4 linked regions of the Oryzias latipes genome follow. The protein of the gene in region 1 purifies or fractionates together with the protein of each later gene. This does not show direct contact. Links are inferred from orthologs where the notes say so. Each region holds a gene or a part of one and is shown on either strand. Other genes may lie near its edges. The genes, in order: eif4b, eif3f, eif3b and ubiquitin carboxyl-terminal hydrolase 11.

Evidence for each region.
Region 2: the proteins of eif4b (region 1) and eif3f purify together in Homo sapiens (affinity purification with mass spectrometry; 3 studies listed by BioGRID). This does not show direct contact. The link is inferred for Oryzias latipes from reciprocal best matches to the Homo sapiens genes EIF4B and EIF3F.
Region 3: the proteins of eif4b (region 1) and eif3b purify together in Homo sapiens (affinity purification with mass spectrometry; 3 studies listed by BioGRID and IntAct, with this or other methods). This does not show direct contact. The link is inferred for Oryzias latipes from reciprocal best matches to the Homo sapiens genes EIF4B and EIF3B.
Region 4: the proteins of eif4b (region 1) and ubiquitin carboxyl-terminal hydrolase 11 purify together in Homo sapiens (affinity purification with western blotting; 3 studies listed by BioGRID, with this or other methods). This does not show direct contact. The link is inferred for Oryzias latipes from reciprocal best matches to the Homo sapiens genes EIF4B and USP11.

The regions. Positions count from the first base shown.
Region 1 is NC_019863.2:29,761,120-29,765,231, reverse strand, and holds the start of eif4b (eukaryotic translation initiation factor 4B), read left to right. Parts: upstream 1-1,255; 5' UTR 1,256-1,339; coding exon 1,340-1,352; intron 1,353-3,180; coding exon 3,181-3,345; intron 3,346-4,112. UniProt on the Homo sapiens protein: Required for the binding of mRNA to ribosomes. Functions in close association with EIF4-F and EIF4-A. Binds near the 5'-terminal cap of mRNA in presence of EIF-4F and ATP.
Region 2 is NC_019875.2:2,469,846-2,474,048, reverse strand, and holds eif3f (eukaryotic translation initiation factor 3 subunit F), read right to left. Parts: upstream 2,858-4,203; 5' UTR 2,817-2,857; coding exon 2,705-2,816; intron 2,420-2,704; coding exon 2,349-2,419; intron 1,760-2,348; coding exon 1,680-1,759; intron 1,596-1,679; coding exon 1,458-1,595; intron 1,376-1,457; coding exon 1,284-1,375; intron 1,113-1,283; coding exon 976-1,112; intron 864-975; coding exon 750-863; intron 568-749; coding exon 487-567; 3' UTR 426-486; downstream 1-425. UniProt on the Homo sapiens protein: Component of the eukaryotic translation initiation factor 3 (eIF-3) complex, which is required for several steps in the initiation of protein synthesis.
Region 3 is NC_019859.2:21,379,797-21,382,027, forward strand, and holds part of eif3b (eukaryotic translation initiation factor 3 subunit B), read left to right. Parts: coding exon 1-55; intron 56-127; coding exon 128-174; intron 175-251; coding exon 252-462; intron 463-535; coding exon 536-608; intron 609-699; coding exon 700-822; intron 823-917; coding exon 918-996; intron 997-1,166; coding exon 1,167-1,305; intron 1,306-1,389; coding exon 1,390-1,515; intron 1,516-1,585; coding exon 1,586-1,663; intron 1,664-1,763; coding exon 1,764-1,872; intron 1,873-1,956; coding exon 1,957-2,057; 3' UTR 2,058-2,069; intron 2,070-2,231.
Region 4 is NC_019865.2:28,608,265-28,612,604, forward strand, and holds the start of ubiquitin carboxyl-terminal hydrolase 11, read left to right. Parts: upstream 1-1,496; 5' UTR 1,497-1,645; coding exon 1,646-1,755; intron 1,756-4,340.

The sequences.
Region 1 (4,112 bases):
TGAAGAAAGCACAGCAGCTGTGTTTCCATTTCAACTTTGGAGAGAAGACTAGAATAGCAATTGGTTTTTGTCTCTTGGGTCACATTTCATATAACATTATAAATAATAACATTGTTAAAACACAAAAAATATAAATAAAATGCTTAAGTTTCCACTTTGTGGCCTCTACAAGAAGCTTCAGGTCTGTGTTTTGAATTTTATAAGAATTGTCACTTGTTTTAAAGGTTGTTCACTCTCAATCCTATCAGCTTTCATAAATGGTGGCTTGTTAAAAATAAGCAAAAAGGTTATAAGGTAAATATGAGGACAAAATGCAGCCTTCCCCTTTGATGGGATGTCTTGTGTAAATGAGTTTTATGCATTGATGCCTTTAGTGGGAGTGGATGGCAACCTGAGAAAACGCCCTCTGAAAAAGCGGTTATTTGTTTGCTTTATTTACAGCTGCTGCAGTTATGAAGAACTGAGTAAAAAGGTTTACTGGTCTTGATACTTTTGACCAATCAGAGTACTTTTTTAAGATATGCGCAGCACAATATTTAAGTGATTAAGAGGTAAGATTTTACTTTTATTTTGTTTTGTACGTGTGTGTGTTGCATATTTATTAAATAGCCTACAAGCCGTGTGTAAACTTTGCACATATGTCTGAAACAGATTTCTACTTGCAAATATTTTTTAAAAAGCTGTAGACAAAACAAAGAAAAACAAAAAACAGTAAAAATAATATACAAGTGTAAATTTATGTATTAAAAAAGGTAGTTCAATTGTATAATTTTAGAGATTTGGACCACTGTGCATGGGTCCACAACGCCAACATTGGTTACCATTACAATATATTTTTTTTCACACTAAGTTCCCTAAACCAGTACAAGGCAGCTTAGTTTAAACAGCACCTTTTATACAGGTGATGTGTGCAAACAGAAAAAGCTTTGGCAGTATCAAGCAAATAAACAAATTAAAAAAACGTATTTACGTATTTTAAGAACAATTTTCAACATGATACTAAATTTAAAGAAAAGCGTTTATTGATTTTTTTATTTAAAGAAAACAATAATAAAGTCATGCATATCATTTTTTGATTCCCCACCATAACGGCTGTTTTATGTTTTATTTTTCAACTATAAAAATTTAAATGTAAATATAGACCAGAGTAAATATTCAAAAATACATATTTTTGGATTTCTTTTTACAAAATTGTGTGTGGGTGGGTGGGTGTTAGGCCCATGTAATGTCCAAGCAGGAAACTAGGGAGGAGGCCGAGGCGCGCAAACGGCGATGCGCGCTCCCGACAATAAACAACTGACGCTTTCATCCGGGAACTTTATGGAACTCGCTCTCCAACATGGCGGCGTCAGGTGAGGTTTATGTGGGTGAGCGCCGTGGGTCGGTTATTAGAAACGTGTACAGCGAGTTACTTCAAAACAAATTTTCAGTAAACGTCTTAAAAATGACACGCTGTAGCCTGATCGGCTAACGTTCTTGTCTCCGGCCTGAACGCTTGTTTGGTGGCTGTTTAGCCCGCCGAAGACGCAGATGGCTGGGGTTAAGCTAATGACGGAGCAACTGGCTGTTATCGCAACGTTTTCGTGGATAAATCGGAAAGGAGGCTCTGGGGTTTGTTGCTATGCGACCTGTTTGTTTTCGCTCCATATAACATGGACTGATCAGGGGGACATAGGTTGCGGGTCGTTCCCGCAGAGCTGGCACACTGCATGTCAGTTGCAGAGCTACTCAGCTAGCCGTGGCGCTCGCGCTCAGGACACCGGGCGCAAGCGCGAGTTCTGAAGGAGGGGTTGGGCTGAGGCGTCCAGGCCGCCTGAAGTAGAGGCTCCCCACGTGTGCGGCGCCGTTCCCTTCTTAGCTGGCTGTGGTGAAGCTGGGCCTGCTGGGTCGCATCCGAAGCGCCGAGCTGTCTGCGTCAGAACTGGAGTCGTGGTTGGTTCTTTCAGCCGGACAAGTCCGACGCAGTTGATGGCGCACTTGGATCCCAGCGCTGCTACGTGCGCCACTAGGCCCTAAAACCTAGCCGGCTAAGCAGGGATACTTCCCCGTCAGCACTCTTCTGCTGACTAAGCCCGCATAGACACAAAAGACAAAAGCGATCAGCCCAAACAGAAACCTCCCGACACGTGCTCATATACTACTCCCGCTAAGTTTTGCCCCTTTAGTGCAGCTTTTTGGTAAATTACCTAGTGATGCAAGCACGTGACGTTCACTATACCGAGGCTTTTCCTATAGAAATAGAAGATCAGTCTGGTTTTCTGTACACCTGACAGCCGGGATTTTCACAGAAAAGCACAACCAGCTCTGTCTCTACGCCTTTTCTGCCTCAAACCAAAAACATCCAACCTGCTCTGGTTGGATCATGAATGAAGCCTCGTGAGAAACTGGGGGCTTTGTGAGGAATGTTACACTACTGTCTGACCTTCAACTCTTCATATTTGATTGCTTTGGCATTGATTAAATGTCATGAAACCAGCTTTTGCCCCCTGTATTTTTTTGTGGCTTGCTGTTCTGATGGATTTATTTTAAATGGCTTCCTCAAGAGATGTCTACTGTAGTGAAGGGTGTGTTCAGCATTTCAGGCCCACGTGAGCTAATAGGAGTCAAGCGCCTTCTGATAAGTGGCTGGCTGCCCTTAGTTTGCCTCATCTGCCCTTTGCAGCAAATGTGCAGTCAAACCTACTGAAGGTGATTTTGTTGTAAGAAAATCCTGTTGGCTGCAGGTGAAGATTCTGGGAAAATGGACGTGTCCTTCGGACTGCCTTCCACTGTTGCGTTGTGATCGTGTGCAACAAACTTTGCATGTCGAGTTGGTTTAAAGCTCTCATCGTTTTGACTTAAAGGTGCATCGTGTTGGTGTAATTTGGCAGTTGGGCCTGCAGGCCACTCCCTGAACATTTCTCCAATGGGGAAATAAGTGTAATATTTATCATGTACACATGGTGCCCCCCCCCCCCCTTATCTAACTCTGCTCCACATCTTTTTGCACAGAGGAAAAAACCTGCATGCTTCAGGACAGACAGAACAGCAGTTTTACGAACAATAATGTCGTTCTAATAACGCCTCTGTTTGGGCAACACAAATATTATCTGCCGGTACGCTCAGCACCAGGCTGTGAAATTTGACTAACTTGAGGATGACGTCTCCTAACTTGATGTGTGGTGTCCGTCTATCTTCTAGCTAAGAAGAAGAACAAGAAGGGGAAGACCTTCAGTCTCACTGACTTCCTGGCAGAGGACTCTGGAGGCAACCCCGCCGCGCCTCCCAGCTACCCAAGCAAGTCCACGAGTTGGGCAGATGATACTGACGACCTGGATGGAGACGGTGAGCAGAAAAAAACGAATGGTGTGTAGTTCAGTGTTTTTTATTCTCTTAATGGAGGAAAAGTTTGAGCTGGGGATGTAGTTGGACTCTTCTGAAACTGCCTCAATACTACGGAGTGCTGAAGGAAACGAGCATCAGCAGGCTGGTAAAGGCAGCGGGATGCAGGCGACGTTCAGCTGCAGAAAGCTCACATCCAGCAAAGGATGGAGTTCTGCTTAAGCTTTCATAAAACTGCTCTAAAATGTGGACTTGATCACACTTAATTCCTTTGTTTGCTTTTAAATAGTGATGTGAGGCCAAACCTGTGAAGAGTTTGTACTCTGAAAATTAAAAAAACAACATTTCCAAAGTACGGTTTTGTGTATTCTTTAAAAAATCAAAATCCTATATTGCGAAGGCCAAGAGGAAAGTTCATGTTGTAAAAATGTCAAGGAAAAGATTGCTGTACTTAAAAAGCAGCTGTTTGTGTGGTTTTTTTGTGTTTTTTTTTCTTTTTTCTTCCAGGGCTTTTTGCTGTGAATCCTAAACCCAAAAGTTTTTATTTTTTGTTGTTGCTGTATGTGTTGACCCTTTTAACACCTGGGGGGTATTCCAGAAAGCACGTTTAAACTACCCCGACTTTAACCCTGAACTCTGGCTGAAATCCACCTGAACTTGCTTACTCTGGGTATGTCGGTTCCAAAAGACCGGATATGAGTTGGCGTAATTACGCTGGACTTGGTAACCCTGGGTTAATGTGCATGCACGGCTAGTACATAAAGACATTCTCAATGGATCGCGATTTCCGG
Region 2 (4,203 bases), on another chromosome or scaffold:
TTTAATAATTGACCTCTGCTACGGATTTGAATGTATATTTAATGATAAAGATCAATATTTTGCTTTGGATAAAAGAACTTGAAACACTTTAACGGAGTCTCACGTGCTGTCTACTGTTACTTGAATAGGACAAAAAGTACTAAATGAAGTTACTGAGGAAATACAAAGTAAATATATTTAAAGTTTTTTCATAATTATTCCTCCACTTTAAGAGTTCTGTGCATTTGACCAAATCCTCTTTATAATCTGAAATAAAGAGTTTAAACACTATTGTCACTTTGAAACCTCAAAGAGTAAATGTAAGCTGAATAAACACGCAATACCACTGTCACAAATACTCAACATGTTTTCTTAATTAGTGGTAAACTTAAATTTGAGATGTTCTTATATGTAAGATCCACCCCACCCCAAAGAAAACATCATGATGCGACTGTTTAACATTTTATTTGCTTCAGCCAAACAATAAGAAAGTTTAAATAGTTCATTTCAGGAGAGCAGCACCAGCTTCTCGTGCAGGGCAATCTGTGCCTGGGTGAGGTTGGACAGGTACGTCACCATCAACAGGTCCTGCAGCAAACCACAAGCACGTCCATGTAGAAAATACACACAACTGAATTTCACAGAAACAATTCCAGTTCCACAGTCGTACAGATGCTAGTATCTTTTAATCTTCACAATGTCAAGAAGTACAAAAGGGTAAAAAAAAACCTCATGCAAATTGTAATTACAGTATCAGGGGAAGCACTTACATTGATGTTAGAATTGAGCATGTTCTCAAAGTCCTCAGGTGGGATGGTCGGCACCTTGTTCACCAGGTCTGTGAGGAACCGGCCAACGCTGTTATCTGCTGCCACTTTCCCAGACTGGAACAGATCCAACAGGTTTTCACCAGAGATCACCCACTTCACTTTGTCATATGTGCCAACACAGGATGTCTTCTTGTTTTATTTTTTTTGTGACAGCCTTAATACTCACCAACACATCGTCAATGTATGCCAGCACCGTAGTCAGCATGTCCTGTACCCTGGCTGCAGCTCCACCCACCTGGGACAGGTCAGAGGTCAGACCCTTGGAGCGACTCGGAGCATCCCGTGTCCTTTGAAGAAGGTCCACTAAAAACAAACAAATATTCAAGTCCAGCTATAGAAATGTACATTTGCTTTTGAACAAATCTTACAAACGCAAACATACATTTCTGAAGTGCATTTGAAACGGGGACAAACATTTTTTAACCCAATAACTCAAAAGTAAGACTTTTTACCACCAGAGTATCTTCTGCTTACCGCCTATTCTCTCAGTGTCATAATAGATATATTTGACGGTGAGTGGGGTAAACATGACGCCGACGGTCTTTCCTGGCACACCCATCTGTGCGCTGTGTAAGACATACACAAACACATTTAGATTCCTCTCAACCTCAACACGACGACACAAGTTGGCAGCACAGATCCGCTTACCTGAGATAGGCCCGGATGTTCATTTTGCCACTCTGCAATGCCGTGTCCACAGTCAGGTGAATGGGGTTGGAGGCTTCACGGCTGTAATACTCATGGATGAGCACAGAATGTTCAGTGATGTCAAAGCCTGTGGCATACCTGGTGGAAAAAGGTCACCTTTTAAATGTATCTGAAAACTTTAGCTGTTGAGTATAGGTATCCGGATACAAACGGCTAACGCACCATCCGATGATGACCTCTGTGGGCGACACCCTCTTGTGAAGCTCATACATGTTTTTTGCAAATTCCATGTCAACAGCGACCTGTTGTCAATAGGACAGACAGAAGATCACTCCTTCAAAAAAGGAGGAACGTGCACATTGTATTTGAGGTGTGTTGAGAAAACAAATAGGATTGTGGCAGTAACTTTTTCACCGTTTCAAACTAGAAACGTATTCTTCTTAAAGTCGCCTCATGAAGCATAACGTTGATGACACAGCATCAGGTGAATGCAAAAGGATCAGCCGAACACATTTGTATTGCTGGTAGTCAGGAGGATAGACACATTTGTATAGTTTTCAGTTTGTTAGTTCAGGTGTTGAAGACAGACAAACTAGTTTACTGATCATTTCTGAGCAGCAGAATTATTGTACGCCATCACAGCAAAACAAGCTGCAAGTGTTAAAAAGGGCAACAAATACAAACAAATCCTGTTAAATGTTACATAAATTTATGAAGTACAGAAGTATCGATCATTCAAATAAACACAGAAGTCATCTTAAATGCAATATGATTCATCATGCTATAGGTACAAGCTTTCTCCAAGATTTTAAGAGAAAATAAAGTTTGAGACATTTTTAACCTTAAGTTGAAGTGCAAAACAATTAAATTTCGCTAATGTTTAACACTCACCTCATCTTCTGACTCATTGTGGGGGACAGAGAAGCAGTTCGTCACCTCAATTGAGTGTTTGTCAACTGTACCTGAAAGCGACAAAAAAGTTAAACCGTTATTGATATAGATGCTTTGTATTATGTATATAATTCATGACAATTCACTCGCTAAAATTCTTTTTTGTTTGTTTTGTTTACACAAATCGTAATGTTGAAAACATGTCGGCTAGCTAGCAGCTGGACTTCACCATTGGTTTAAACTAAGCCAGCGTGCGTTAGCTAGCAAGCTAAAGCTAGCCGTATGCTAGCCACCGCTAGCGCTCTGAAAACATCCATCCTCCTGCGACAAGACGTAAACATGAATTTAATGCTTACCCAAAAGGGTTCCGATCACACGGCTGGCTCCCTCATTCCTTCGCTCATACGAGTCGCAGATAGATGCGAGAACGACGGGATGGATTTTCACCACTGGCCCGTACACCGACATCTTGAAAAAAGAGGACCGTTTACCGGCTCGAGCGAACACATATACTGCCACCTAGAGGCTGGAGGCCGAATGGGCAGCAACCAATGAACAGATTTAAAAATAAACTCACACATATTTTATTAATATGACTAAATATAGATACACAGGGGGCGATTGTGCTGTTGACAGTGCTGCTAATAATGTTTTTTAATAGAAGTGTTTTAATAATAAAAAACAACAAAATCGGTTTTTAAACCAACACTAATGTTATTTTATATCAAGAATGTAGTGCGTTTGATTTTATGTTTTATGTCCACTGTTAATCAGGTGTATGCGGTTACATTGTAAGTGAATTAAGTCCACATTTCCTCTGTGAACTCCGCAAACAGGCTCCGGGGGGGGGTGTCTCTCCCTGTTGTGCGTCTGAGGCAGTGAGGTGGACGGGGGCTGCACTGATGACAGCCTCCTGCGTCGCTCACAGCCTCACTCACACCTGACCGACTCCATCGGACGCGCAGATGATGGAGCTGCTGCCGGGTTGCCCCTCTGCCACCATTTCGCACATCCACTGCACGACAAATGTTCTCCCGCTGCCTTCAACTCTTTACTCTCGATAATTGTCTGGATGGGTCGTGATTTTGGGTTTTTCCTGCGCGGTTTACTGAGTGCTTTTTCTTCTTCTTTTGTTTTCCTGGAGGAGCGAACAGGAGTGTACTGATGCGGCGTCGCTGCTAAACACCAGAAATGGGTGTCATCGAAACAAAGGTGCCAGAACCGGCTCGTTTTTGGACCCCGTTTCTCCTGATCTGCCCATAAAAGAAGATCTTATCTACAAGTTGCTGCACCAAACAGGTAGGATTTAGCTCGTTCTCTGCGGCGTACTGACTCACGGGCATCCTTTACTGAGGCTATTTCTGATGCATCCATCTGAGGTGGTGCGTCATCTTCATAGCCGCTATATAATTACATCAGTCTCCTGCGTCCATCCACCAGCTGTGGTTGGACGCAGGACGCACGACCCGCGCTCCATTTTACTGTGCAAATATTCCCCTCACACCTTCTTAACCCAGACTGCTCTCCGACACTTATGTAAGACATCCCAATAGGACTATAATGCAAGTCCTCAAAATTTAAAATAGCAGTAAAGTGCACTTACACAACGCGCACACACACTGAAGGACCACGCATGCACCCAGCCCGAGGCGTTTTATAAAGGCTGCTTCATTAAATGTGCATGGTCAGATGTGCACAGAGATCATGATGTCTTTAAGGGAACAAGATCACAGATTTATTTGTCTGTAGAGTTTAGTTTCATGAGACAAATGCCTTTAAGAGGTTTAAAGAAAACAGTAAATGTTCACCTGTATTTATGACAATCTTTAAAGAGGATCATTCGATTTACTTCAGA
Region 3 (2,231 bases), on another chromosome or scaffold:
CGGGAAGTTTTTTGCTAGAATGACTCAAGACACTTTGAGCATCTATGAAACTCCAGTAAGCAAAGCTAAAAAATGAATGTAAATAGTTTTAATTGTTGCTTAAAACACAGTCTGTCTTGTTTTTCAGTCAATGGGTTTGCTGGACAAGAAGAGTCTGAAGATTAATGGGATCAAGTGAGTTTTTCTGTAAGTGTTGGTGACTGGTTTTGTGTTTGGATCTTAATAACTGTGTGTGTGTGTCCATCTTTCAGGGACTTCTCGTGGTCTCCTGGTGACAACATCATAGCTTTCTGGGTACCCGAGGACAAGGACATCCCGGCAAGAGTGACTCTGATGCAGATGCCTTCCCGTCAGGAGATCCGGGTCCGTAACCTCTTCAATGTTGTCGACTGCAAACTGCACTGGCAGAGAAACGGGGATTATCTGTGTGTGAAGGTGGACAGAACGCCCAAAGGGACTCAGGTAACCAAAAAACGGTTGACTTTCACCTCTCGTAGTGAGGAAAGGAGAAGTCTCATATTATTGTTGGTTTCAGGGTGTTGTGACCAACTTTGAAATCTTCAGAATGAGGGAGAAGCAGGTTCCTGTTGATGTGGTGGAGATGAAGGGTGAGAGTTTATTTTGTGCCTTACGTCAGCTGCTGGCAATTCTTCCACAAGAAAGTAGTCCCATGTGGTCCTGTGATGTTTTTTTCTTTAGAAAGCATCATAGCCTTTGCCTGGGAGCCAAACGGCAGCAAGTTTGCCGTTCTGCATGGAGAGTCTCCAAGGATCAACGCCTCTTTCTATCACGTCAAAAACAACGGCAAAATTGAGCTCATCAGTAAGTCTTGCTTTTAGGCTATAGAGATTTTTGGTTCTTATTGACGTCCATTAGCACAAAATGTTGACTTTTTTTGTGTGTTTTGCTTTTTATAGAGATGTTTGACAAGCAGCAGGCCAACAGCATTTTCTGGAGTCCTCAGGGTCAGTTTATGGTGCTGGCAGGTCTCAGGAGGTCAGTAGTGTTTTTGTTAGAAATAAGAAATAATCAGCCAATGAAAAACTTTACCAATTTTTCTGATATCTTGTGTGAGAGCTAAGCTCCTGATTCAAGTGCTGTTCTTAGGCTGTTAGTTTGTCTTCCTCAACTTTTGGTTTTGTGTGTGTGTGTGTGTGTGTGTGCAGCATGAATGGAGCTCTTGCCTTTGTAGACACATCCGACTGTACCATGATGAACATAGCAGAGCACTACATGGCTTCAGATGTGGAGTGGGACCCAACTGGTCGCTACGTCGTCACATCCGTCTCCTGGTGGAGCCACAAGGTGCGTTTGGATTTAACACCATTCCACGCGTTTTAACCGGAAAGCAAAAAAATCTCACACTCGCATAATTTTCTACTCATCCAGGTGGACAATGCATACTGGGTGTGGACATTCCAGGGTCGACTCCTTCAGAAAAACAACAAGGACCGCTTCTGCCAGCTACTGTGGAGACCCCGACCTCCCACTCTGCTGAGTGCAGATCAGATCAAGGTAACTTTTATCTGTAGCGTCTGTAGGGTAGTACAGAACAGTCGACTGACTCTTTTCCCTTCTTCTGCAGATGATCAAGAAGGATCTGAAGAAATACTCAAAGACCTTTGAGCAGAAAGATCGTCTGAGTCAGTCTAAGGCTTCAAAGGTTCGACATCTTACCCGTTTTTTTCCTCCACTCCCTCATTGTGCTGTGTGATCATGCATGTGTACGCTCCATAAGATTCACATGGTGTTTGTTTCTATAGGAACTGGTGGACAAGCGAAGAACCATGCTTGAAGACTACCGTCGCTACCGAGAGGAAGCCCTCAAGAACTATCAGGAACAGAAGAGCATGCGCCTGGAGCTCAGAGGAGGTGGGGCTTTGCATTACAATGTATGGGCTTGTTTGCATTTTTGTCTTAATGGATAACATTTGTTTTCTTTTCCGTTTGGTGCAGGAGTGGACACGGACGAGCTGGACAGCAATGTGGATGACTGGGAGGAGGAGACCATTGAGTTTTTTTGCGACGAAAAAATCATTGCCCTCGACGATCTGTAGTCCCCCACGCAGGTGACTTTTGTTGTTTTGGTTTATACACACGTGGACAGAAATGTTAGCGCACCACATTCACTGACACAACTGTATAAAATGTATTCAAGCATTTAGCTCTGGGCATTGATCATTTTAATAGTGTGAAGTTTTTTTCCGGTGTTATAGGAAGGTTCTAATGAT
Region 4 (4,340 bases), on another chromosome or scaffold:
TAATTTATTATCATTTGAAAGCTTCTTTTCTACGTATAATGTAAAATGCAAAAAAGCTGAATGTAACAAAATAACCAAGGCAATTCCCTCAACAATAAAACAACTTATTGAAAATACTAATCTTGATATCTTATATCTCTGTGTCATGGATCAAGACTTTACAGAAAAAGAAAAACCAAACAAGATACTACGTAAACGTTTAAACAGTCATCTCTATCCCGTGCAATCAAACAAAAATTCTATTCTCAATTTTCTGTTTTTATATACATCTTATGTCTTTAATGTTAGTGTCTTATCATGATTTTAGCCCCAGTGTTTCTTGTGGGGATCTTTTCCTCCAGGGTCGGTGGTTGTTGCTGCAGTTCTTGCCCTTGCTGGGGCAGCTGGGGTCTAACTTTGCAGCTTCACGGCTGTGAAGTGAACCCCAGTGTTGTCCCAGTCTGGGTGGGCGCCGTGGCGATGCTCCCATGGCCGGGCTGGCTCCTGGTATGAAAGGATTCCCAAATACTGTTTCCTCACAGCAGAGCCAAGCTATACTTGTTTGTTTGTTTGTTTGCTTATTTATTTATTTAAGCTACATAGTCATTATTCTTTGTACGTGGGGGCCATGGGTCATGTGTTTTAACGGAGGGGAGTGGGAAGGGTGAAGGGTGGGTTGGGTTTTTACTGTAATATTGTGTGTTTTCCGTTCTTAATGGTAAAGCGCTTCGAGCTGCACAAAATGCATGAGAAGCGCTATTTTATAAATAAAGTTTGATTTGATTTGATTCTCCAAAAATTTTCTGAAGCATAAATTAAAAAATGGAGAACCAATTATTTAAAAGTCCCAGTAACCTCAAAAACAAAAGAAATTCATCATGAAATTTTAAACAAGATAATATCCATCCAGTGAACTGCTAGAAAGAGATTCAATGCGGAATGTGACTATTGTACTTTCTGTGACTCAGGAACAGAAACTATCTTTTCTTTCATTGTTCACACTCCAAGACTTTCTGGAAACATCTATTGGACTGGCTCTGTCCAGCTACAAATCAACCTCACTTTGGACAACATCATCTTTGGGATCGACCTGAAGGACTCACACATGGACTAAGCCTTAAACAATCTGCTGTTAATCTCAAAATGTTTTATTCATACCTTCATATGGAAAAAAAATACGGCCTAATTTCATTTTATTTAATAACATTTGCAAGACAGTTATTTTAATGCTTTAAAATGTATTTATAACAAGTTTACTACTGGACATATTAAAAAAATGTAATTTATTCCAAGCCCTTTTTTTACAAATATGTGTGAGTGAGGTTTAATTTATTTATTCATGTCATCCTTTTTTCATGTTACTTCTTTTATTTATTTTTCCTCAGTTAGGTTTACTTGTTACAGAGTCATTGTTAATGAACACAGTCAGATTGCCTGTTTGATCAAATAAAGTAAAAGAAAAAAAAAGAACTATAACCAAAACTGGGACGTTCAGATCCGGAAGTTGTCATCATCCGGGTCACCGCCACTTCCTACTTCCGCAAACACAGTTCTGTGTTGCTTCTTTCCCCCCGTTCTTCAATGCTGCGGTCGACTGCTGCCGTATATATTTCGTCACGTTGATGTTCATTACAGTTACGACATTTATGACCGATTGATTCCCACCATGACGGCCAACAGCCGCTGTTCCGCCGCAGAGCCTCCGGGTCTGGAGACCCAACGGCGGGAGATCGAGTGTCTGTTGCGGGAGTGTGAGCTCCGTGCCGGGGACAGTTGGTGAGTGTTCGCCCGCCACCGCCGCTCCCTGTTACACAGACACATAGTGACAGAAAGCCGCTGTTGTCACGAGCGAGGAGTTTCACGGTAGAGTCGAGCTGCTGTGGAGTTCTCGTTGTAGAGGTTGAAGTCCTCGGTGCTCGCCATTAGCTTCTCCTGTTAGCTGTGGTGAAGCTAACGCTAACGCCCCTGCTTTAATGAGACGTTCACAGTCGCCACGGAAGCTTTTCGATTATGGGATTTAATACAATTATAACACAAAATAATTTTTTGTGGCAGTATATTTTCTGTCGGCTCCGTGATCTGTTTGTGAGGCGCAACAGTTTGCTTTCAGTTTCGCTTCTTCTGATTGAGAAACAAACTGGGATTTATTATTACATTGACTCGAGTGTTGCTTCCAAAACGGAACTCGTTTGTTTCTGTGCTCTGAGTCTGACATATGTGGTTGTTTTGGGCGGTTGATAATGACAGTTTAACTATCAGCTGTGATTTTTTTTTTTTTTTTTTTTTTTTTGCTCGAATAAGTGGGGAGATGATCAGATCAAGTGAAACTAGTTAGCTGGCAAAGAAGACTCGAGCATTCTCCAAACCTGCTTCTAAGATCCGGAAACAGGTTTTTGAGCCCATCCCTGCTAACCAAATAACAAACAAATGAATACTCAGCAAAAGAAATCTAAAAGGGACACCACTGAAGCAACTCAGCCCCATCTTCATCCACACCTGTGTCAAATTCTGCATTGACCTCTGAGACTCTTGCTGTGCCCTTAGTCAGGGTGAGAAGCTCGGCCGTCTTGAGAGATCTTAGAGTAGAGCTGCTGCTCCTCCACATCCAGAGGAGACTTGGGCACCTGCTCCTGGAAGCTCCTGGGATGTCCCACAGGGCAGTGGCCCCCGGATGACTGGACATGCTGGAGAGACTGCATCTTCTGACTGGGAATGCCTCTGGACCCCCCCAGAGGAGCTGCAGGAAGGGTCTTAGACTCTTTGCTTGGACTGCTGCCCCCGTGACCCGGACGAGCGGAAGAACATAGATGGATGAGTGGACTCCCCAGAGTTCTCCACAAATCCCTTCAAGTGGTTCAGACGCTCGTTTCATCACCCAATATCCATCTCTTCTGTTCTGGAGGAACCACAGCATCTTCCAGTAGACTCTAAATAGAATGCATTCTGCACATACACCTACAAGCCCCCCCCCCATCTGTTTAATTTCCATTGCCCCATCTCCTGTTCTGCCAATCTTCCTCCCTCCTTCAATTCAGCTAGAAGTTCCGCCTCAGGACCACAGAGAGACGAACTTTTAGCTAAACTTATTCTCTCAAATTGAACATGATTAGCTGTACAGATAAACCTGGTCAGTGGAGAAACTAGTTTACGGGTTTAGAAGCCGGCTTACTTTAGGACATGTAAACACACCTATTTGTCTTATCTACAACTATTAAACAGCTGTCCCGTCATTTCATCTTCATTATTCGCATTTTTATAGTTTCGTTAGTTCAGATTCAGCTGCTTGTGGTGTTTTTCAGCAGCAGGAACTGGATGTTATTAGAAGAAGAAAAACATGGCCCGTTCTTCTTTTTGTCACTTGAACGCAAACATTTTGGTCCTGTTGTGTTATGATCCCAACAAAGTGTCAGTCAAATGAGAGTCTGGATCTTAACTTGGTTCTGGGCCTCATGTGTCCAATTGTCCGACACAAAGTCCACTGCCAGTCTGAACACCTCACACTTCTTTGTAGACAACTCCTGGGCTTGAAGAAAATTAACTCCTGCTGATCAAAGTGCTGTGGTAACAAAACAAGCCCTTATCACCATACCTCCACCACCATGCCTGACAGTAAATTTGAGTTTCAGCAGATATTGCCTGGTCATTCAGATCCAGTTTTGCCATCTGCCTTTGTGTTGTCATGTTTCCTCACACAAAAGAAGCTTTGTCTGTGCAAGGAAGGAAAAGCCTGAAAGCATCTGTTTGGATAACACTTCTATGAACTTCTAATATGTACCACTTTTGAAATGCGGCTCTTGGAAAGGCTCATCAACATTTCTGGTAGTTACCAATTAACCCCCCCCCCCCCCAACAAAAAAACAAAACAAAAACAAAACGAAGACTCTAAATTGTCACTAATTGTCATTAATGTGAGTGTTCATGGGTGTGACCCTGCGACAGACTGGCGACCTGTCCAGGATGTCCCTTCCCTTCGCCCAGGAGTGGCTGGGATAGGCTCCAGCAGCCTAGTGACCCTGAAAGAGACAAAACAGGTTTAGAAGATGAATGAATGAATGAATGAATGAATGAATGAATGAATGAATGAATGTTTTTTTAGCCTTTACACTTTAAACAGCAGCATTTTTTTGGCTGAAATGAACTGAATGCAGCAGAACAGGAAATGCCTTTTATTGTGTTTCTAAGGAGATGGACAGTGTGATTTGTGCTTCAAAAGTGACGCAGCGTCCTTTACCAAGTGAACAGGAAACAAGTTTAATTCGGTTTCATTTACATAGCCCAATACTACAACAATAGTCATCTCAATGGGCTTCATACCGTAATTGTACAATAAACATGAAATCAGTCTTAAGATGTAATGGGTA